Linked DNA regions of Xenopus tropicalis. The protein of the gene in region 4 interacts with the protein of the main gene of each other region in a pairwise test. Links are inferred from orthologs where the notes say so. Each region holds a gene or a part of one and is shown on either strand. Other genes may lie near its edges. The genes, in order: phf1, tbc1d22b, nek6 and hsd17b14.

Region 1 (5,908 bases), on a different chromosome or scaffold from region 4:
TTTAAGTTATGTTCTTTACAGTTGTTATCAGTTGGCTTCTGATACATTGTTTCAATAGTCAGAGAGAACTGCAATTACTTTTACAAATAACGTTTAAACTGCTGGAAAATAACTAATGTATATCTGATGCTTAATTTTTGGGTTTACGTCAAAGGTAAAATTAAGTCCAAGTCATTAGGCACCTCTCAGTGATTCTAAATGCTGGTGTTCCTTCGTATCAAAAATGCACCAGCCCAGTGTACTTCATTTGAAGCATTGCACCACAAATCTTCTTCCCCTCCGCTGGGTGTTACATTTAGTTTAGTGTATGCATGGGTACCAAAGAATTTTTCCTTGAGATTTAATCTCAAGCTGCAGGCATACCTTCAGTTGTCTCAATAGTGCCCTTAAAGGAGAAGGAAAGGCAAAGTCACTTGGGGGTGCCAAAATGTTAGGCACCCCCAAGTGACTTCAATAGCCTACCTTTTACCCCGGGCTGGTGCCCCTGTTCAGAGAGAACAGCACCAGCCCGGGGTAGCTGCCAGCGCTTCCTCCTTCCTGTAGCGCTGTGTGCGCATGCACAGTAGAGTGAAAAGCCGAACTTTAACAGAGAAGTCGGCTTTTTACTCTACTGCGCATGCGCTTTTGTGTAAGTCTTAGCAAAACGCAGGCAGTTCATGAGGTTGGTGGATTTTTTGAAAAAGTGTAGCCCTAGCCTGAAGTAACAAGTTAGTGACTAGAATGACTTTATCTCTTGATTTATGTGGGATTTATTAAGGAAGGAACTGTATGGGGAAATGTCTTGTCAAGATGGAAAATAAGAAACTGAGACCAGCAAAAAGGTCGACTGAGTTTGGATACTCGTCTTGTTGAGGAAATTGCTACTATTATCCATGTGAGTCAAGGCAGGAAAACAGAAGCAAGACATTCAAATGGAGAGTCCTAGAGAGCCCTCAGCACCAGGTTAAAGTCCCAAGGGGGGGGCACAAAAACTTGAAGGGTGAAGCCACATGAGCAGCACCTTTAATGAAGGTTGTGACATCTGGCTAGAGGGCCAGATGTTCCTGGAAAAGTACAACAAAAACAAAACCTGGAGCTCTCTCATCAGTTTGGTGAGGACCTGGAGGACCAAGGCCCCTCGAAGGGCAGAAAATGTTAACTAGAAGTGTCGATTTTGGAAGACAAAGAGCATGAATCAATGATGGGGGTGGAAAATGGGGACATGAAGATAGCTTTGCTTGATATCCAGTTGCACCAGGAACTCATTTTGGCCCATGGCCACAATGACTGAGCGGAGAGACTCAATCTTGAATTTGCAGGCCTAATGAATTTATTCAAGTGTTTGGGGTCTAAGACAGGATGAAGAGAACTGTCTTATTTAGGGACCATGAACATATCCGAACTGGAGTGATGATGGAAGACTTCAGCATATCTTGTATTACCTTGAAACCTTGTGCAAATGGGTTCTTTGGGTAACTGAGACACCAAGAAATGGTGAAGTGTGAGGTTTGCAAACTCCGGGAGGTGTTTTAGGAAGAAACCCATGAATCCTGAGAATGAGCAAGCAATAGTCCCTGAAACAACCTCAGCTGCCCTCCACAAGTGCCAGCTGAGAAGAGGTTTATGTTGCTCTGACTGGTTGCCCCCGCAGAATGGGCCCTCAGCGGGGTTGCACAAAGCAATGAGAGGGCCCCTATGCCTTGCAGACAATATTTTGAAGCACATGGCGCAGGCCAAAATTTACACAGGGTATAAAGCCCTCACCAACCCCCCTCAGCCATCAAGCCCAGTAGAAGTAGTGGAGAGACAGTTGTAGTTGTGTCCTGCCTCCTGCAGACAGGTAGGAGAAGGGGGTGGGCATATCTCCCTGTGCATAAGCCAAGGAGGGGAAAACAATGCCAAGGGAAATTTGAACTTGTGCACAATGAGGAAAGGAGCAGCAAGGAGTGGGGCGGCAGGACACCTGGTTGCAGTCACTGGTGCCTGCACCACGATTGGTATGGAAGCTTCTAGTTGTGAACATCTCACAAAACAAAGTATGTGGCATGGACAGCAAGTGTCTAGGAAACAAGGCACCAGTGGAGGCGAGTGTTCCGTGTAGAGGCATGCTTACCCTTCTTCCAGCTGCTATCTGCTACTGTGGATAAGTGCAGGCAACACTAAGTGGCCAGTATTGTGACTTATGGCCCTGGAAGGGAGATTCAGCAGAGGGGAAGCCTGGAGACATCCTACCTAGGTAGTTATGCAGGAACATCCCTTGGAGTCCTGGCCAGTCCAGAATTGCAGAAAAAAATCATTGTGATTGTCCATACCTCCTGTGTTGAGGAGTATAGCTGTTGAGGGAGAGGACTTTTTTTTACTAGTGTACTGCCACCTAGTGGTAGAAGCTATACCCCACAATTCCTGTGTCCCCCAAGTAGCTGTGAGAGAAAAGTTAAAATATATAGGGAACAACAGTATAAAATATAACAATGTTAGAAGTCAAAAAACTTCCATGATAAATAAAAGAACCAGTCCTTTTGTACGGGTCATAGATCTTTAAGTGTTATTGTATGTATGTATGTATGTATATTGTATTTATATAGTACTACTATACACAGCACTGTAAAGCAGGAATAAATGGATACATAATAATAGTAATACATAAAAAATACATTGCTAGCATCCCAAAACAGTTCTTCAAATCTATTGTATTTGCAGGATAACATTGGCCTCTATTAGGCCAAAATCTACAGGTTCAATATCTAAATATGATTATATTGTTATATAAAAAAAATCCTATTACCTGGGTAAGAGCTTTGCACAGCTTCTGCCTCTCCCTTCCTGTCTGCTTCTCTATGCTCTGGGTCCTCTTCCTGTGTGTGGGGCGTCTCGTGATCCCCATCCTCCCTACAAGGGAACTGCAAGAGATCTTTATATCCGCTCGCTGGGGAGGGGAAGGAAGACAAGCAATGCAGTATGATATATAAAGTGGGCTTTGAAATGCATTAATACTTTGTGTGTGCAAAATTAAGGTTCCTCACCTTACACATGGAGTGGAAGTTCTATCCTTAGATTCTTGCTGCCTTAGCTGAGATTCTGTGCTTTGTGGGGCAGGAGGTGGGACACGGGTCTGTAGGCCAAACAGACACTTCTTTTTTTTTATTTCCTTTCCAGAAATAAACCTGAAGGAAAACAAAGTCTGAAAACTACAAAAATCACATATTCATTCCTATATTATTAAATTTAGTATGTCTATACATAACATGGTAGTTATTTATACATTACCGAAGTCTACATTCAAAAAATGTATTACCAGTGTTGTTAACAGGCAAATGAAGTAATAAAACTACATTAAAGGACCCACTTCAGTCAAAAGATAGGCTTCTTACCTATCCTTCTGGGCTGTAAGGGCGTGAAGAAGGTGAGAATATCGTTCAGAACGAGGAGTGTCTGTCAGCTGAGTCAAACATAAAAAAAGAAATAAGGATCATCATAGAAACCTAGCACTATATAACAAAATTATCCCAGAGTCCTAGTCTGCATAAATATATATTATTTCTTCTGATAATGAGTGGTCAAAGCACTTTAATGAAAACACAAACTTGGGAAGCTGAAGTTCCCCTTTGGGCTATGCCACACATGCTGTTTTCTTCACCTTGTGCACAGTGAAAGTCAAATGCTATTCATTTCAGTTGTTACACACAAGGGAAAGTAGCATGTTGTATTGCCAACTTCCTGCTAGATAATTTAATGCCAATATAAATTGTTTAGTACAGTGCAAAAATAACCCAATGCTGCTATGAATCAATTAACCACAATACTTTCCAAACCAAGTAGAAAGTAAATACAATAGTATTTACAATGGCATCAAATCCATGCAAACTAAAAAACCAAAGGGAGAGATCAGTATATAGAAATTACTGGACTGGTGGAACGCAAATTGAAGGAGGTGAAATGCACTGCCATTAGGGAGTGGTAAGAAGAGGGTGGGTGAGATATGTGACTTAAAAACCAGAGTAGTGGGAGCTACATGAAATGCTCTTACGATTGCGGAGAGACCATTTCTAATTTGGGCCATGTGGGGGAGAGATGGCTGATGCTTTAAAACAGTGCATTGACATAACCAGTAACAGTGATGCTTTGCTTGGGACTCTGTTAAAACCATAACTGCTGCATCATAATTTTGGCACTGCTACTTACCTCTCCTAAAAGTAAACTGTCCCAATTTTCATTAACAAAGGAAAGAATTTCACGCTCAAAGTCAAAATATTTCTTCTTACAACAAATACTGAGATGATACAAGACAAGATGTGAAACATCAACCCTGTATATAAAGAAAATAAACAATTTAACCAATCAACAGTGTGACACGGGGGACAGAAATATGTGTAAAAGCAGAAATGGACAAAGGAAAATTCATACAAGTATGATGAAGAGTGGGGTTAGAATTAAACTTGAATTGTTTGATACTGATGGATCTTAAAAGGGTTATTCACCTTTGCATTAACTTTTACTATGATAAAGAATGTCCTACTTCTAGCAATTCTGCAATTGGTCTTCAAATGGGGGTCACTTACCCCGGCAGCCAAAAACCTATTGCTCTGTACACATCTTTTTTATTGTTACTCTACACATTCAGATTTTATTTGTTGTAAGACGAACTTTTGGATATCGATCGTATGTTTTAATGCAACAATCTAAAACTAACATTCAGATTTAAATTGTAGGATTAAAGTTGAAAAAATAACAAATTAAATGATATTCTGCCCATTAACTGACAAGCAACAATTGTACAAAAGTTATGTCCCGGAAATAGTAATAATGTATAGACTTTTATCCCAGGAATGATGTGTTTATACGAATGAATGTGTTACAATCATTCGTGTGTGCGAAGCTTCAATAGTTTCTGTTCTAAAATGAGTCCAGTATATATGAATGCCAAATACAGAGTAGCACTTGCAATAGTGCTGGCAACAGCACATCGTGGAAAAAAAAGTGTTGCAATGGTCTCGTCAAATATACCCCCTCGGGGGTGTTTGTTTGTTTATATGTTATAGATCACCCATGCATACCTTTAGATGAGGGCACACTCCAAAATCTATAGTCTTAGTTCTACTATGTAGTAAACTGCAGCTTGCAATTACTACAGCCCCTTAATTGATCAAGGTGCTTAGATTTATTCATCTGCAACATAGGGTACCAAATGCTGCCGAATAAACATAAGGAGCATGTGAAAAAGACAAGACACACTGTCCCCAACCTAAGCTAAACAAAGGCATATCAAGAATCTGTTTAAGGATATAGATATATATAACTTACCATGCAAGGGGAAGTCTCCAAGCGTTTTCTGGACCTCTTGTACAGACGGAACACTCAAAAACATAAAACCTAAATGTTTAAGGAAAAAGTGGAAAGGAAACTGTAATATTGCGAGTGCTGAACAGAAAGTTAAGTGACTAAACTAAATGGATGGACAACACAGAAATAAGTTTTGCAGTCATAGAATACAGTAGACATGGTTCCAAATTAACATGGTTTTAGACTTTCTAAACATTGTGTCCCTAGATTTTTATGTGCCACTACTCCCAGAATCCCTAAATATATTGTCAAATTAAAAGGATTTTGGAAGAGCTATAAAGTTTCTTTTAACACTGGGCCTCTGTAGGGGAACTATCATGCAGATTGAAGTTTTATATACACTTCCTCTCATGGAAATTAGAAACTATTTAAATTAAACATTTTGTACTGTTTCAGAAATAATCAAGTTACTCTTCACTACTCCTCTTTTAGCAAACAGTCTCTCTTTATTCTCTCTTAATGCAGGATTTGGGGCCAGATTTTCCAAAAATTTCTTATTTCAGATAGATGGTATGTGTATTAAATAATTTGATGATAATTCCCCTTTAACGCCACTGCAACTAGAAACTACAACCACTCAACATGGAAG
Region 2 (6,571 bases), on a different chromosome or scaffold from region 4:
TATGTTAATAAAAAATGACTTTGGGTTTTATGTTTAATTTGAAAAGGGCTTTTATTATACATCTTTTTATGTCTGGGTGACAGGTCCACTTTAAGAAAGGGTTGGATGACTTTTTAGCAAGTGAGGAAATACAGGGTTATGGGCGATAGCTCTTACTACAAGTTGATCCAGGAACTGGTACTATTGCCATTGCGGAGTCACAAAAGAATTTTTTTCCCCTTTGTGGCAAATTAGAGAGGCTTCATATGGGTTTTTTGCCTTCCTCTGCATCAACTAACAGTTAGGAAGGTTATATATAGGCATTAAGGTTGATGAAAGTGTGTCTTTTTTCAACTTAACTGATGTTACGGTTTTATTACTAAGTCAACACTACGTCATTACTATGAGCTTCTTCAATGGTTATTTTACAGTTTTTATAACTATGCATTTTAACACATATTTTACAAGTTACATGTAGGTACTGAACTTGAACTCTCTGAATATTTTGGGAAATTTTGTAAGATTGGCATAAAAAGCATATTCACATCCATTAATGCAGCAGTCCTCAAACTACAGCCCCCGGGCCGGATGCAGCCCTCCGCGGCCATTCACCTGGCCCCCCGTCCATTCACCTGGCCCCCCGTCTTCACTACTTCCTCCCTAATTAGTACCTGTGTTGGTGTTCTTCCCCAGCGAGTCACCGCGTTACACGCCAACGCTGTGACTTGTTCACTGAAGCAATCGTTGGCTAATATACCAAGCAGCTACAGTAATCCCGTGTGCCATCAGCCTTGCAGAGAGAAATTCATGGCAGAACAATAACTTTGGCAGTTAAGAATATGTCATTATATCTGCTGTAAATCTGTACTGAAATATTAATTTTCATGAAGTTGCAGTGTTGGGAAAAACAAAATGAAAATTACCCTGAGATGTTTCAAATGACTTCACATAGTTATCCATTATGTATTTTTAGTATTGTGAGTGGCAGATGAAGTGATACTGATCTAAGCAATAAGAACTGCCTACCCTGACTGTATAAAGTCATTAACAGGATATTTGCAACAGATTTTGTATTTTTAATGAAAATAGGATAGTTACCCGTTACCCATGTTGTGTTCTGCTCTACCCCTGCACTGGGGCACAGCAGAACACAGACATCACTGTATGCCGTATCAGTGTTTCTCCCTGCTTTTTTGCTCTACAAATAAGATATGTGCAGTGTGCATGGGAATTCGTTGATATTTTTTTTCCAAACTATAGTCCGGCCCCCCAACAGTCTGAGGGAACTTGAACTGGCCCCGTTTAAAAAGTTTGAGGACCCCTGAATTAATGTGCGTACTTATTGGGTGGTGTATAAATATCAATTATAATTACTGAACTGTATATATTTCTTTTTTCTCTCTTTCCCTTGAACTTTGAGCACTGGTATTTTATTTTATTATCTGCTGGAAATTAAAGTTCACCCTTACACATACAGCTTATATACATACAAAAGAAACAAAATGTTTGCTTTGACACTGACCGATTAGGTAATCATTTAGATGAATCTTCCTTGATGCATCTTATATGTAATAACTGTTAAGGGCTCTGGCACACGGGGAGATTAGTCGCCCACGACAAATCTCCCTGTTCGCGGGTGACTAATCTCCTCGAATTGCCATCCCACCGACGACAATGTAAGTCGCCGGTGGGATGGCACAAGCTGCGCAGGCGATTTCGGCAAATCGCCGAAGTTGCCTCGCGAGGCATTTTCGATGATTTGCCGAAATCGTGCCGCCGCGTCTGCCATCCCATGCTATCCCATCGGCGACAATGTAAGTCGTCGGTGGGATGGCAGACGCTGCAGCGCAATTTCGGCAAATCATCGAAAATGCCTCGCGTGGAATGGCAACGCGGGGAGATTAGTCGCCCGCAAACGGGTAGATTTGTCGCGAGCGACTAATCTCCCTGTGTGCCAGAGCCCTTAGTAAGGGCTCTCCATCTCAACTTCAGCAATATGTTTTTATATTATCATAAAAAGTATTGGAGTTAAGGTAAAATTTAGCACTATGTAATAAATTGAACCTGTAAAAAATGCTTTGCAACCAAAAAATATACTCCTGACACTATAGTAGCGCACCTGCAGTGACCCTGTGGAGATGATCTTCACTGACAGATTTTGTAACAGAAGGTTGGCAAGGGGACTCCTCCCGTAGCTTGAGGTGGCTCTCTATAACTTGTGCAGCTGTCACTTCAGCAACCCTGGAGTTAAGAGTCTGATAGGGTGAAGCATACAGGACATCTCCTCCTCCATCATCATCATCAGCATCATCATCATCCTCAATATCCCAGGCATCACTAGTATTTCTTGCAAACTCATGAAAACTAGATGCTTTTCTGCTTTTCAAATGAAGTGGTTGTCGCCTTGAACGATCAGAAATATAACTGCCAAAAAATTGTAAATAAGGGTAACAAACAAAAGTTTAAATTGTTGGCATAGATAAGGTATTAATATCCATTATAAAAATATGAACAGAAATTTAGCCAAAACATTGTATACCTTTTATTGAGACGAGGGTCTAAAGGTGGGTGCTGGGCCCCATACACTGGTTGAATACTGAGAAAAGGATAAAGGTATTGACAAAATAAGATCATTGCATATAAAACCGGAATAAAAACAATGAGTAAACAAAGACCCCCAGAAATCCCTATATATCAGCTCCTTACAACTTATAGCTTTCTGTCCTTTTCATAACAAAGATCTCAATTTTTACTTGAATTCCTGCAAATTACATTACACATGATGATCTTAATATAGAATAAATGGCTGTCAAGATTTCATTATCCCACAAAACATAAAAAATGTCTATTGTTGTTGTATATTATTGTGTAATTAAACAATATAAACATACAACGTTTGCAAAGGCGATTTTGACTCTTTACTGTATATATGCACTAAAAGGTATTATGCATTGTGACAAATAGTATGAGACCAAACGGAATTGTGCACAGTCCCTAAGGTGCCAGCATTGATCAAGAAATCCTTGTTCTTCCCTCAAGTTTCCGGCAACAATCCATTGTCAGTAAACTGGGCCTCATTAAAAGGCATACTTAGTCACTACTGTCAAATTAAATAAACTCAAACCCTCACATGTACATATTAACCCCAATAATAATTGGACAAGCCCGCATCTTAGCACGTATATCTTTTAATTAAACATAATGCCATTTTCACAAGGAGACTGTAATTTCCCATTCCTTGATCTTTCCGAATCCACTCCTACTTTCAATAAATCAACTCATATACACAAACACACACTACTCAAATGTTCTGGTCTCTTCGTTCTTCCTACAAGTCAAAGCTGTCCAAGTTTTTCTATGAAACTCCTCAAGCACACTCCCTTTCATGATCGCCTTAAGTTGTTACCTTCCCGGAAGCTTTGTACTCCTTTTCCAGAACTGTCGGTTATTCTCTGACATCCTGCAAGTCCACTGTATTTCGTTTTGTAGGGTGTGCTCACCCGCTCCGGGGATCCGCTTCCACCATAACGGAACCGGGCGGGTAGAGATTCCTAATTGGCGGATTTTACAGTATCATCCAATTGAAGCCAATGAACGTTAGCGATGCTACGAGGCTACGGTGCTCAGGTGACGTTTTTAGCATGGAGCGCTCATAGGAAATCAACCGGAAGTGTTTGGTTTCGCCATCTTAGTACTCTCTGCGCTAGGTTGTAGAATTCATTTTTTTTGCCGTTGCAGCGGAAGAGTGTTTTTTTTTTTCTCTAGATTTGGTTATTATGTAACTTTAATTCAGGCGGTATGTATTAATGTAGTAGAATTGTGTTTTGTAGTTTATGTAAGAAAAAGAGGAGGTGAGAGGACTTTGTATGGCAGATCATTTTAGACCTGTTAACTTGGTGCAAAGTTGATCAGATTTTTTGAGTTTTTTTTATTTTAAATTGGAGAAATCATATATGGTGCATCGTTACAGTTGCCACATTTTCTGGAAAAAATAGCTTTTCCTATTTGTTTGTGTTTATACAATATTTCATACCTCCCAACATTTGAAAAGTAGAAGGAGGGACAAGAATATGTTTTTCATATTTTTCAGCCCATGCTTACTTTATGGCCACACTCCAAAACAGGCCTATTTTACAAAACCACACCTGAAAAGTATAACATACACAAAGTGCATCAGAAGACAGACACTGTGACCCCAATCATTTTATGACATATTGTGGCCCTAAGGATTTAATTACGCACTGTGCCACCTGTATATCATGACAGACTCAGTGAAGTACAAGCATCCCATGCTACATATTGACCCTCAGCATCTCTAATACCCATTTCAAAACAATTCAAAACTCAGAAAATCACCAGAGCTGTATGCAGTCCCATCAGTAGAAAGGACACACAGACACTGGTAGCCAGGGCCCCCTATAACATTGGTAGCCAGGGACCCCCTAAAACATATATGTCAAACACAAGGCCCGGGGGCCAAATCCGGCCCACCTGGCTGTTTTATGTGGCCCTTGGTGAGTGTGTCTGACCATCCAGCCTGATCAATTTCCATTTTCCTCACATAGTAACTAAAACTAAGGGGTATATTTATCATGCTGTGTAAAAAGTGTAGTGAAGCATTTCCAGTAATGTTGCCCAAGGCATCCAATCAGTAATCAGATTTCAACAGTAGCAAAGCTTCTATTGGCTGCTAGGAGCAACATCACCGGTAATGTCTTACTCCACTTTTTACACATTGTGATAAATATACTCCTATCTATCTTACTAAGTATATTAATAAAAAATTTGGCCCGAGACTTAGCCTTTGTTTTAGATTTTGGCCCCCTTATGTGATTGAGTTTGACACCCCTGCCCTAAAACATTGCTAGCCGGCCCAGGGCCCCCTAAAACATTGCTGGTCCTCCCCTATTTTGGTAAGAAAAGTTCTATCCTTATGCCCCAGTCTTGTTAAGCTTGGGGCCTCTGGTTCAATCCCCATATTAAGTACTTAGAAAGGTTTAGCCCTTGCCAATGGTATTTTAGGCAGCAGGTAAAATAATACAGATATTTTATGGGAAGGAAATAAATAAAATAGTGTCAGTGTAAAACATTTCATCATGGGTTTTAAACACAGTTGTGGAAAAACTAATCCTAAATACAGAGCTATATATTTTAGTAAGGCTTGGCTAGAATAACAATATCACCAACATTAAGGCTAATGCCACACCATGCGTATGGTGTATATTTTTGGCAAGCTAAAAAACGCTTGCCGAAATTTTGCGCCATACGCTCCTACCTGTGCCTGCACCGGCAATGCTTGCCAAAAATATACACCATACACATGGTGTGTCATTAGCCTAATTATCTAATACACCAAACTTGGGTGGCCTCATAGTAAATAACCAGGGGTAATACATACATATTTGCAAATACAATTCACTGAGAGCAGAATTAATCACATTGCATAGTCTGCACCTTAGCCATACAATTTCCTTAGGCTCCCCCAAATCAGTATTTATAAATATATATGTATTGTGTCTTCCCTTTTTATTTGAACTGTAAATACCAAAAGGAAGTGAATTCCAGGTGGGAATTTTACATTCTTAAAAGTAAAATAAATAATATTAAATTACATTGCGTTTAGAACATTTGTGGCCAACAATCCCACCTAGGTACCCATAAAAAAACATAGCTACACATTTCAGACAGAGGGCCCTCAAATTAGCCAATTTATTGGTTTTTTTTATAACACTCAGCAACTTTTTTTTTAGCAAGTAGAGTTTTTTTTCCTAAATAACACTTAATAGGGGGTAAATGTCCTTTAAATGTCAGCACTTGATATAAATCTATTTTAAAACATGTAGATGCAAAGTCACTTATGTGATCATCCAAGCTAACTTTAAAATGCCAAAAACCCACTCTGTGGGTTATATGAGAGTGTTAACATAGCTGGCCAGCCTCATTTTATAGATATTTATGATGGTTAATAAATGTTTATATTTAGAGACTTATAGGGAAGGTTTAGAAGCAGAACTGACACACAACTAGCAATCAATGGGGGAGACAGAGCCAGAACATGAGATACTTTACAGAAAGCGATATATACTCAATAAAACCTACTTTCTCCTTACCTGACCTGCAAAATAATTCCACTATAGGACTTGCACCAAACTTTTACCCATGTCTTTCTGCTTTGTACGATACATTTGTGTCAAGCCAGGTGAGTCCGATGAGATTGCCACTCACAAGCACCTCACACTAGGCTGGAGGCTTAACCTGAGAGTGAGACAGGAAGCACAGCAGTGGAGAGAGGCTGGAAGGCCAAATAGCGAAGTACCGAGGAGTAAGCAAAGGCGTAGTCAAAACGGGTCCGGGTCAGGGCTGGCAGCAAGGTTCACAAGCGGGAAGTTCAGGCAGAAGGTCAAATAACAGAAGTTTCAACAAGAAGTAACACTGGGCACACTAGAAGCGATAACAGAGCACTGTGGATTATTTCCAAAGTCTTTTTAAAGCTCCCGCCTATGTAACGAGCGTCATGACGTCAGCCGTGGTGTCATTGCGCGTGCGCACGCTGGAACGCAAATGACACCTGCGTTTCAGTTGCACTCGCCGC
Region 3 (5,908 bases), on a different chromosome or scaffold from region 4:
GCTTTCCCAGAGAAGTCCCTGCAAACACCGTAGAAAAGGCAGTGCTTAAAAGAGTTTGTTACAGTAGCTGTTTATAAATATAATAGCATTTACTTAGCCTTAGACTTAGCATTTATTTACCTTATTTTGTGAAAGAATGTTGTACAGGTATGGGATCCCTTATCCGGAAACCCATTACCCAGAAAGTTCTGAATTACAGAAAGCCCATCTCCCATAGACTCCATTTAAAGCAAATAATTCTATTTTTTAAAAATGATTTCCTTTTTCTCTGTAATAATAAAACAGTACCTGTACTCGATCCCAACTAAGATATAATTACCCCTTATTGGGGGCAGAACAGCCCTATTGGGTTTATTTAATGGTTAAATGATTCCCTTTTCTCTGTAATAATAAAACAGTACCTTGTACTCGATCCCAACTAAGATATAATTACCCCTTATTGGGGGCAGAACAGCCCTATTGGGTTTATTTAATGGTTAAATGATTCCCTTTTCTCTGTAATAATAAAACAGTACCTGTACTTGATCCCAACTAAGATATAATTACCCCTTATTGGGGCAGAACAGCCCTATTGGGTTTATTTAATGGTTAAATGATTCCCTTTTCTCTATAATAATAAAACAGTACCTGTACTTGATCCCAACTAAGATATAATTACCCCTTATTGGGGGCAGAACAGCCCTATTGGGTTTATTTAATGGTTAAATGATTCCCTTTTCTCTGTAATAATAAAACAGTACCTGTACTTGATCCCAGCTAAGATATAATTAATCCTTATTGGAAGCAAAACAATCCTATTGGGTTTATTCAATATTTAAATGATTTTTAGCATACTTAAGTTATGGAGATCCAAATTATGGAAAGATCCCTTATCTGGAAAACCCCAGGTCCCAAGCATTCTGGATAACGGGTCCCATACCTATAAATGTTATTTTTCCCTTTATTCAATAGTTTTTATGTGTACTTGGCAAAAGCAGCACTTTCTTTTTCTTTTTGTTCCACAAAGACACGATTTGAGAAACTATTGAGAAAAAATCAGAATAGTGTAGCAGGGTTGGTGGGTGCCATCTTTCTCCACTTGATATGCTCTTCCAGATGATTGCTGACCATAGCCAAGTCCAGATAGGACTGTACCCATGGCCATAACTGGTCAGTACTAGGGGCCTGCCATGGTGTGGTTATATATAAATACCTAATGGTTTTCTCCTCTGTGTTAACCAAAAAACAAGTATATCTGATACAAAGGTTCCTAGCTGGGGGTTTCCAATTTCTGGGGAATGCTTAATTCAGTTGATGTTGTTTAAGGGTGTGATGAGACCCCCCTAGTCACAATTGCAAATGCTTTTGTGGTTATTTATTAAGGCAGTGATCCCCAACCAGTGGCTCAGGGGCAACATGTTGCTCACCAACCCCTTGGATGTTGCTCTCAGAACCCCCAAACCTGGTAGTTATTTTTGAATCCCTGACTTGGGGGCAAGTTTTCGTTGAATAAAAACAAGATTTACTACCAAATAAAGCCCCTTGTAAGCTGATAGTGTGCATAGAGGCTACCTAATAGCCAATCACAGCCCTTATTTGGCACCTCCATGAACTTTCATGACGCTTCTGTTGCTCTCCAAGTCTTTTTACATCTGAGTGTTGGGGACCCCTGTTTTAAGGAAACCCTGAAGGTTTGTTATTTTAGTTATATTTTATATATCTGTGGCATTGGTATGAGCTAAGTGGTGGCTATTTATTATGCTGATTTATCAACATTCAAAATTGTTTTGAAATTTCAATTTCTTTGTGCTTAAACTCCTGAATTCGAATTACAGTTTCCAAAACTTAAATTCAAAATGTAAGCGATTTCTTTTCAATTCAGGTTTTTAAAATTTGTCTAGGAGGTGGTAGACCAATTGATAATGATGAGCAGCATATGAATTCAGCACATTCAAGTTTTATTTAAGTTTTAATCGATCAAGTTTTTTTTTAGATTTAAGTTTTTTACTAAAAATATTAGCGCACATGTAAGTTTAGTAAGTTTTCTTCTTTCTTTCTTAAAAAAATTGAAATGTGATAAATATAGGTGCCAATGTGTTTTACTGAAACGAATGGGACATTGTGGGAAAATATGGGCCGTTTCTCTACGAACACTGGCAGACAGTAGTTTCTATTTGCCATAGCCCTTGAAGTCTATTAACAGAATAATGTGTTGTTTATTAATTTTTTTTTTTATAATCTTTTGTTGACAGCAACTGAACCATCCAAATGTGATCAAGTATTTGGATTCCTTTATTGAAGACAATGAGTTGAACATTGTTCTGGAGCTTGCAGATGCCGGAGACCTCTCCCAGATGATTAAAGTAAGAAGTGTCACCACATTACAGACAAAGTTACCTAAAAACACAGCTACTTAAGAAGCAAAGTGCAAATATTCCTTGTGTATCTATGGAGGTGGGAGATCATATGCTAACTTATTTTGGAAAGTGCTGTGGATAAAATAACTGTAGTTGGGAAACAACTGTCTTTGGCTGTGCAGAAATTGGTCATAGCTTCAGATGGTTCCTTTTGGCTAAGCTAATAGATAATAGGCATGAACAATTGAAAAGCTAAACTTTGATAAATTCAGAAATATTAGAAAAAATAAAAAAGCTTCGCCAAACAAATGGATCTTTGCCCCATTTAGCTACCCGTGTGCTAGGCCAAATTGGGCTTATCTTATTGGCCATCAAGCCAGTGATCAGATCATATTTTTAACCTCCTTACTTTTTTGCATAAATAACAAAAATCATAATTGTTTCTATCATTACATTATAGAACATACTGCAAGCAGTTAACGATAGTTTTGCTCAACTATTTTATTAAAATAAAAATAATGAACAGGAGGATCTGCTTGAGGCTAAAGCTCCATTTGTTCCAGTTTGTGGGTCTGAGGGCTAAATATGTTGTGCAAGGTAATTAAGACTAGATGCTCATTAGAATCCACATGTCAGACCTAGTTTTGTTACTCACATCTGAAGGAGAAACTCACTCCAAAATAGTGTGCAAAATACCCAGCCTGCATTTGAGCAGCAAAGAGTTTGTAGTCTATTAAATGGGGGTGTCCGTATTTTTGACGAGGTTGTCAAATGTGCAAATCTTTCACCAATATTTCCCCCTTGAGTTGAGAGACAGGCGTTTGAATCACATTGATGGGATGCAGGGGGTCAGGATGAGAACCACATGAACACGTTGATGCACTTCTCACCCTGATGGGATTTTTAAACCTGTCCGATCAACATCTGGCCTATTTTCTGCCAGATATACATGCATGTGTTGGCCACCTTTAATCGCATGCTTTGTCTGTAATCTTGCTGTTAACCTTAACTTGTGCCTGTCTGGATCCTTTCATTATTCTTGCTTTCTGTTTCTCAACCCAAATATCATTTTGTGTCTCTGTTCCAGTACTTTAAAAAGCAGAAGAGGTTAATTCCAGAGAGGACAGTGTGGAAATACTTTGTGCAGTTATGCAGCGCTGTGGAACACATGCATTCCCGTAGAATCATGCACAGAGGTAAGCCAAGCTCATGTAAACATTTACCTAAAGTTAAAGGAGCATTAACCAGGCCCAGACTGAGATCCAAAATAGGTCCCGGCACCGTACACAGACAGCCAGACAGCTGTCAAATAGTGACTGTCTAAGGCAGGGATCCCCAACCTTTTATACACGTGAGCCACAATTAAATGTAAAAAGTGTTGGGGAGCAACACAAGCGTGAATAAAGTTCCTGGGGGTGCCAATAAGAGCTACAATTGGCTATTTAATAGCCCCTATGTGGACTGGCAGCCTACAGAAGGCTCTATATGGAATTATACTGGGTTTTTATGGAACCAAAATTTGCCTCCTTACCAGAAATTCAAAAATAAGCACTTGCTTTGAGGCCACTGGGAACAACATCCAAGGGGTTGATGAGCCACATGTTGCTCACAAGCCACTGGTTGACTAAGGCATCTTTTAGCAGCCTCTCTGGCATTTGCAAGAACCTACAGATTGCCAGTCTAGGCCTGGCATTGACCCGAAAGTAGGAAGACCCAGGGACGATTCTAGCCCCTAAGCCACCCTGAGGCAGCTCTTTCAAATCTGTCCCCCCCCACGCCACAGTGCTTACCTTACTGGCTACAAAGTGGGTCTGGGGTGGGGCAGCATTGCTAGTACAGACAGTGCAATTGCGCTCTCTGCACTAGAAGAGCTGGTTCAATAACTGGAAATTACGGGAAAGTACAGCTTTTTCCCTTTTTTAAACCTCAGGGGCGCTGCCACCTGAGGCAAGGTTCTCACCTTGTGTCATGGCAGGAACGCCCCTGGCATGACATTTTCAACATTTCCTTTGGGAACTAAGATTCAGAATAGGCCCTGGCACTACAAGTACACAGAGGCCCAAACAACCCCCACCAATCCAACAAATAGTGACTGTCTAAGGCATCTTTCAGCAGCCTCTCTTGCATTTGCCAGGACCCGCAGATTCAGGGCTGCTTTAAGGTACCGGTTTTCTCAGGGCAAAATTTCATTGGTGGGCCCCCACTGCACCAATAAATTTGTAATAGAATAACCCCTTAAACTTGTAAAGTTCAATATAATAAGGCAGGAAGTAAAAAAATGCTCTGCGCTTACTGAAGTAGACATGGTCCCATGGTGTGCCACTAGGGACCAACAACCATGGGGGCAGACAAATGACAGAATGGTGATGCCTCAAAAGAGACAATGAAATTAAATAACCATACTACAGAGCTTTTTCAGTTGAATAAAATGAGGTGTCTGCCATCTCTGTAGGATGCTTCTGGCAAGAGTTATCCTAGAAGGTCCATTTATTAAAACGGCCCTGCACAGATTGCTAGTCTGTGACTGGCATTAACCCTAAAGTATGACAATGTAACATTTATCTGGTTATTTATGGCAACTTAGATGCCTTAATGTTAGTATCTTTATATATCGGATACTATATTTCAGTTGCAAGAATAATGAATGATAGCGTGATGGGGGGAAATCACAGCGATTGTTTCTGTTTGTGCATTCTCCGTAGAAGCCAAAGTCTTCAGGACATTACTTGTCTCACCTCAGTGGGTTAACAAACTCCTGTTTTCCGTATATTTTCTTTCCCCTGCAGCTTTTTTCCTTGCTGCTCATCCTGTTACCTCTGAACATTTTTTTTTTCTTGTTTTATCCGGCCTTTGATGCCTCTGATGATTGCGCCTGATGAAACTGTCAGAGGATGATGTGTTTTGATTCTTTTCTAAAGTCTTTGCACATCACAGAAATGAAGGGTGAAATACAAAGACATCGATCAGAGTTGGGATGCATGTAGCGTTTGGGGCGCTGGGACATGGAACTTCCTGGGAATATGCTCTGTTTTGGTTAAACTACAAGCTCTTCATATAAGTCCAGCGCTGTGTGAGAGGGAAAGATTAGGACATCTGAATGTCAATGGACCTCAGATATGCAATGTTCAGATTTGCAGACCTCCATCTATTTTGAATCAGTTTTGCCATCCTGCAGATTTCCTGAAAAGTAATATCCATTTGCAGATATTTACTGTTATGTTTGCTTCTCACTGGGATATCTACCGTGATAACCTGATTTACCTGCTTACTCACTAAGCTGTGGAAATACAGAGCTTCAGGCACAAAATATTCTCTTATGTAGGATTTGTTTGCCATGTTATTGCCCTTGCAGACATGCATTATGTGGGAACATTTATACACATAACCAGAGATGCATGGAATACAACATTTTTAGATTTGACTAATTGTTAAATTCTCCACAAAACATTTGACTTAATGTGAACCCTAATTTGCATATTCATTAAATGTAGGGCTGGAGCTAGGGGTAGACATAGGAAGGTACTGTTTAAACAAGGAAACCCCTGTGTTGTTCACACCTTTTAGTTTCTGCA
Region 4 (5,908 bases):
CTAGCTGGATACTAGCCCCACCAGGCCACTAGCTGGATACTAGCCCCACCAGGCCACTAGCCTGGATACTAGTCCCACCAGGCCACTAGCCTGGATACTAGCCCCACCAGGCCACTAGCCCGGATACTAGCCCCACCAGGCCACTAGCTGGATACTAGCCCCACCAGGCCACTAGCTGGATACTAGCCCCACAAGGCCACTAGCCCGGATACTAGCCCCACCAGGCCACTAGCTGGATACTAGCCCCACCAGGCCACTAGCCTGGATACTAGCCCCACCAGGCCACTAGCTGGATACTAGCCCCACCAGGCCACTAGCTGGATACTAGCCCCACCAGGCCACTAGCTGGATACTAGCCCCACCAGGCCACTAGCTGGATACTAGCCCCACCAGGCCACTAGCTGGATACTAGCCCCACCAGGCCACTAGCCCAGATACTAGCCCCACCAGGCCACTAGCTGGATACTAGACCCACCAGGCCACTAGCTGGATACTAGCCCCACCAGGCCACTAGCCCGGATACTAGCCCCACCAGGCCACTAGCTGGATACTAGCCCCACCAGGCCACTAGCCCGGATACTAGCCCCACCAGGCTGAGCCTGATACTTACACACCAGGCACACAAACTATGCAATTCTCTCAGGTATATCCTTACAAAAAGCCTTGCTCTGAATCCTATGGCACATGTGTTGGAGCAGTAATATCCCTCAGTGTGCACCCACCCAGGGACACTACTACTTGGTTATTCCATGAACAACAAAGGTATCAATGCATGCTCATTGTGCAGAGGTTACCTGTTAATTCTCACATTGTGCCGACTCTCATCCACCGCCATTGCCTTTGTCATTGCTGTGACTGCACCCTGTACATATATAAATCCAGGTAAGCATCAGTCAAGGGAACAGTATTGGTTCAATTTAATTGTCACGCTACAGCTTCCAGCATCCATAAAGGAGAACCCACTCTTACAAGATGGCAGGAGAAGACATACCTTTGTGGCCACGTAAGGGATAGCGTGTTTCTGACCAATGATACCAACCAGGCTGGATATATTGATGATGTTCCCTTGTGTTTTCCTCAGGTGCGGCAGAGCATACTGAAACACATCAAGAGCCATTTTTAAGGAAGAACAGATGAAAGGATTTCCTGCACATGAAAGAAAACTTGCATAAAAGTACATTAATGGATATTATTATTATTATTATTATGCAGTCACCTTGTAGGTTATATAGTAAGGTGATTAAGGGTTTGCCCCACCCCAGTAGCAGCCAATCAAGCATAAGCTTTTTATGGTCTTGTAAAATTAGGCAAACATTAATATGTACAGCCAGGATAAACTCCAGGGTATCAGGGGCTAAAATACCCTGACTCTAATTATAGTCTATATTGAGCAGCAAATAGTAACGTATAAGAGGCGTAAAAGCAAATATGCAGGTCTGTTCTGTGAAATGAAATGCAAACTCAAGAGTGAGTAAATATGGTAAATATGGAGTAAGTAAATATATCTTAGGTTTAACAAGCTAATATGTGACTGGAGTTTGCCCGATCTCTGTTGTATATTAACAGACCAAAGCTGATGTGCATCTAAGGCCTATAGTGCGGAGAAGGCTAAAAAAAAATAATCAGCATCTCTTCAAAAAGCAATAGCTTACAGGGAGCAAGGAGATGCACTTCTCAATCTCAATCCAAGTCATGCCAATCACAGCCCTTATTTGGCAACACCCTGCAAATTCCTTATGTTTGTGTGGCTCGTCATCACTTTTACATCTGAGTGTGGCTTATGAGTAAAAAAGGTTGAGGGTCCCTGTGTTAAAGAAAGGGTGATGTGGGAAAAAAGCAATGGAGAAGACAGTAGTTGACAGTAGTTGCAATGTCACACAGGGAGATTAGTCGCCCATGGTTAAATCTTGGCTACCATGGGCAACAAATCTCCCCATGGGCAATAAAGTAAATCGCCGGTGGGGTGCATATGTGGTGCTTCATCTCCACCCTGCACTGGAAACTTCAGAAAAAAAAGCGTCTTCCCACCAGCGATTCTCTTTATTGCTGGCGGAAAGGCATTTTAGGGGATTAGTTGCCCGCAGTAGCAGAGATTTAACCGTGGGCAACTAATCTCCCTGTGTGCCATTGCAATAAAAAAGTAAATGTGAACAATAAAGCCCAATATTATCATGTTCACTATTCAGCAAATATTGATTGGAATGCAGTGCAGTTTATGATGTGATCAAATATATCCGATATTGTTCATTCTTACAGTATACTGTATAAGTACAAGGTTGCTCTTCTCTATTTAAACTGTAATAAAATAAAAAGTTTTAATGTTGTACATGGAAAGTGTCTCTTTCTTCTCTTTTTAAAAAATACTACCCACTATGCTTATTATACAGATATCCTAAACTCATTGCTCTTACACAATATTTCCTGGCTACAGTTGCTGTCCATATTTTCTATAAAATGTTTTTAAAAAGCCATTGGGTGCTACATTTTTCCATAGATGACAACCCCAGGGGCTGACATACACTGGTTTCCAGGGCAGATTATGGTAAGAAACTATAACATACACAAGTTCTTTGAGACCATGTTGAGTAGAAATGTGGGGTTCTGAACCTCCATTGTCAGACTGCTGTGTTGCTGTGCTCTCAAAGTATACTGGGGAATACTCCATTTGGTGCAAAAGTGCATATCCCCCCCAACTATTCTATTGATATATTATATACATAATGTTGTGTAACCTGGTCTAACAGAAAACCCTTTGTGCACGACAAGAACCACAATATGCTGTAGCAGGCCATGGGGCTGATTAACAGGGATAAGCGCTAAATTGCACAAGTGGAAACCAATTACATTTCTGCTTTCATTTTCTAACTGGTGGCAAACTAACTGGTTGTTGTGGGGAAATGAGTTGTGCAGCTTGGCACCTATGTTAGTAAATGGGCCCTCGTGCCTATTAACTTTTTGACATTAAATAACAGATAAACAGGTGAGGATAAACGTGTGCTATTGTGCCCATTGGGAAACCAAGAGTGCAACCCCTTACCTTTGCAGTAAGAAAGTAGCCAATCAGATTCAGATTAAGAAGGTCACGGAAATCATCAGCGCTGGTGCCATCTATTGTCTGTTCTGGTGGATCTACAATGAAACAGACATGAGTAACAGAGAGTACCAACTGTTCCGCGGGTTCTTTTTTCCCTTTTAATCACCCAAGAGGCACAGGAAAATCCGCACCTGAGTGGCAGAACGTTTCCCTGTCCATCAAAAGAAATAAAAGGAGCTTTCATTTGGGTGATTTGTCTTAAGAGGAGTCTTAAACCCGAGCTTTACTGCCGTGCTGTTTTATGTTCCTAGTGCTTTTTACAAGGTGCAGTTTGAATACACTTAGGGAAGTAAAGAATGTCTTTGTTCTTGGATTATGGTTCCAGTAAAGTTTATAGAGATCAGTAAGGTTTAATTATATAAAAGTCCCTTTTGGGTAAGTTAAACCCATACCTGCAGTAATAAAAATGATAATAACTGTATAAGGTTTTAAAAACCTGTAAAAAGACATAAATAGCAGTGCCAGGCCTAGGTGTTATAGCACCCAAGGCAAATGGTACCCCCCCTCAGTACATTATAACCCTTCTTTTTCCCCACATCGTCTCCCATACATTGGGTGTTATATCCCCAAACCCTTTATTCTTTTTCTCTGACTTTTCACTCCCCCCCTTTATCTCCTCCTACATTTACTTTCAGTGTTTCTATTCTCTTCTTTCACGCACTACACTCCCTTTATGCAACTCTCCCCTCCTTTATTCTTTGCACAATCAACCCCCTGTGCCCCCATCTCTTCCCCTCTCTCCTTGTGCAATTGTGCCACCTTTCTCTCCTCCTATTAAAGCTATAGCAGCCATTTAGACTCATGGAAATTAGGCAACATAATTGTTTGTTATTAGGTCAAGGCAAGTTTATATCATGTTCAGGATCCCTTAAGTGCCCAAATGAAAGGCTGGGTGAGCAGATTTAGAGTATTAGTACTTACGCCATCCTGCATTATTGATCAGACAGTCAATTTGTCCATAGTTCATCACAGTAATCTCAATCAGCTTCTGTTTAAAATAAGAAAAGTAAACAGAGAAATATAAGTTGTGCTGGCCAACTCAGCCCTTTTGGCTAACGCCCCATGGAGAGATTAGTCACTCTTGATAATCTCTGCTACCGCAGGCGGCTAATCTCTCTGAAGTGGCTTTCCACAAGCAACAAAGAGAATCCCCAGTGGAAAGGTCTATGTGTTGCTTTGTTTCTCCAAAGCCTATGCGATTCTCTTTGTTGCAGGTGGAAAAGCATTTCGGAGACTAATCTCTCGGTGGGGCATTAGCCTTACATGAACCCCATACAGAATATAGGCTGCAGGGATGTTTTCAGATGGCCCATTGTTGGCTGGAAGAAGGCAATGTTATGTGTGCCCAGTTTAAAAACAGTGTTTGATCACAGTGGGGGCCAATTTGATTACTTAGGAGTTTAGACCCTGGGCTGACAGTGGGCCAAGGGTACAGTTCTAGGGAGCACCCTGCCGCCATCTTGCTTCCTGCTGCCCTGGGCTGGGCACGTGTGCAGCAGCGTAGACATGATTAACCCTTTCCACTATTGGCACATGGGGCCTGACACTGCTCTTATAGGCTGGTCTTGTCCATTAGCCCATCAGTTCCATCAATGTAGCACCACGCACTGCCAAAAAACCCACTGTAGTTGATAAAAGGTTTTGATGCCTCAGAGTCAATGTTTGAAGAGGGTGGGGTTTAGTTATGGACATCTTTAATATAAAATACATCTCAGATTCAAACATTAGCCAACACCTAGATCCTTTCCTATCCATGCCCACTGGTACCCACTATTCAACCCACACCCCATTCAATCTCATGTAAACCCCATCCCTTTCCCAACCCACATTTCACTACTCTTCCAAGAAGACAGCAAGAGTTGAAATGCAGACATTCTAGACATTGTCGAATTCAGACAGGCAGCATGGTGGTGCAACAGCCCAGTCCTGGGATGAATCCCAGCCAGGACACTATCTGCAAGGAATTTGTATACTCTCCCTGTGCTTGTGTGGGGTTCTGACACTATTGCCCTCCCCTTAATTTGGATTTTGATTCCAGAAAAGGTGGCAACCCTTTTCTGGTTTCTTCCGACACTCTGAAAACATACAGGCCGGCTCATTTGCTCCTGCTGCCGCCGCACTGTTTCATGAGTCAGAACCAGAGAACAGAAAGGGATAAACCAATGCTGCTTTCGACTGCAAAAACAGACATAACATGGGAAATGTTTCCTGACCGCATATTGGAAAGTTGCTTAGAATGACATATTTTGTCATTATGCAACAAAAAAAGAGGTTTTGGGTAGAGATCACAGACACTTCAGCTTACGGTCAGTACAAAGCCAATCTGATTACTTCTATATTTTTGAATGAGAAGCTGAGACCTCAGGGCCATATTGAAACCAACCTACTCTGGGCAGACGTTGCATAGGCTTTGCCACAAGAGGGAAGTCTGGTCACATGGATCTTAAAGGGACAGTTCACACAGTTGCACAATTAAGAATTTAAAAGAATATCTTTTTCTACATAAACTTAAATGTAATTCAAAGGAAAACAACCCCTTTTAATCAACCTTGACATAGGCAAGAGTGTCCCTTTGTGCAAGTTGTGCTCTATAGATATCCGCCTGTCCATCCAGCTGTGCCCTTTCCTATTCTGTTTCACACCCCGAATAAAGGCTTTCATACCTTAATATCTTCTTCTTTTGTGACATCACAACAAACATATATACAGTCTCCTGGCCCCGCTGCCTTTATCTCATTCTCCAGAGCTTTGGCCTCTGTATCTACAAAAGGGAAAAATACCAAGCAGACTTTCTTGTAGTTCATTTAGCTCTCA

Evidence for each region.
Region 1: the proteins of hsd17b14 (region 4) and phf1 interact in binary tests that used the Homo sapiens proteins (3 or more experiments, as listed by UniProt). The two-hybrid records come from large-scale screens. The link is inferred for Xenopus tropicalis from reciprocal best matches to the Homo sapiens genes HSD17B14 and PHF1.
Region 2: the proteins of hsd17b14 (region 4) and tbc1d22b interact in binary tests that used the Homo sapiens proteins (3 or more experiments, as listed by UniProt). The link is inferred for Xenopus tropicalis from reciprocal best matches to the Homo sapiens genes HSD17B14 and TBC1D22B.
Region 3: the proteins of hsd17b14 (region 4) and nek6 interact in binary tests that used the Homo sapiens proteins (3 or more experiments, as listed by UniProt). The two-hybrid records come from large-scale screens. The link is inferred for Xenopus tropicalis from reciprocal best matches to the Homo sapiens genes HSD17B14 and NEK6.

Annotation. Positions count from the first base shown.
Region 1 is NC_030684.2:71,980,161-71,986,068, forward strand, and holds part of phf1 (PHD finger protein 1), read right to left. Parts: intron 5,350-5,908; coding exon 5,281-5,349; intron 4,286-5,280; coding exon 4,162-4,285; intron 3,419-4,161; coding exon 3,351-3,418; intron 3,144-3,350; coding exon 3,003-3,143; intron 2,880-3,002; coding exon 2,765-2,879; intron 1-2,764. UniProt on the Homo sapiens protein: Polycomb group (PcG) that specifically binds histone H3 trimethylated at 'Lys-36' (H3K36me3) and recruits the PRC2 complex. Involved in DNA damage response and is recruited at double-strand breaks (DSBs).
Region 2 is NC_030678.2:65,165,807-65,172,377, forward strand, and holds the start of tbc1d22b (TBC1 domain family member 22B), read right to left. Parts: upstream 3,651-6,571; 5' UTR 3,439-3,650; coding exon 3,386-3,438; intron 2,576-3,385; coding exon 2,519-2,575; intron 2,404-2,518; coding exon 2,099-2,403; intron 1-2,098. UniProt on the Homo sapiens protein: May act as a GTPase-activating protein for Rab family protein(s).
Region 3 is NC_030684.2:29,183,724-29,189,631, reverse strand, and holds part of nek6 (serine/threonine-protein kinase Nek6), read left to right. Parts: intron 1-2,231; coding exon 2,232-2,342; intron 2,343-3,423; coding exon 3,424-3,532; intron 3,533-5,908. UniProt on the Homo sapiens protein: Protein kinase which plays an important role in mitotic cell cycle progression. Required for chromosome segregation at metaphase-anaphase transition, robust mitotic spindle formation and cytokinesis.
Region 4 is NC_030683.2:114,400,363-114,406,270, forward strand, and holds part of hsd17b14 (17-beta-hydroxysteroid dehydrogenase 14), read right to left. Parts: intron 5,856-5,908; coding exon 5,758-5,855; intron 4,083-5,757; coding exon 4,016-4,082; intron 3,130-4,015; coding exon 3,038-3,129; intron 1,097-3,037; coding exon 992-1,096; intron 863-991; coding exon 795-862; intron 1-794. UniProt on the Homo sapiens protein: Catalyzes the NAD(+)-dependent oxidation of L-fucose, yielding L-fucono-1,5-lactone, which rapidly converts spontaneously to L-fucone-1,4-lactone. Can also act on D-arabinose and L-galactose, with lower catalytic efficiency. Does not use NADPH.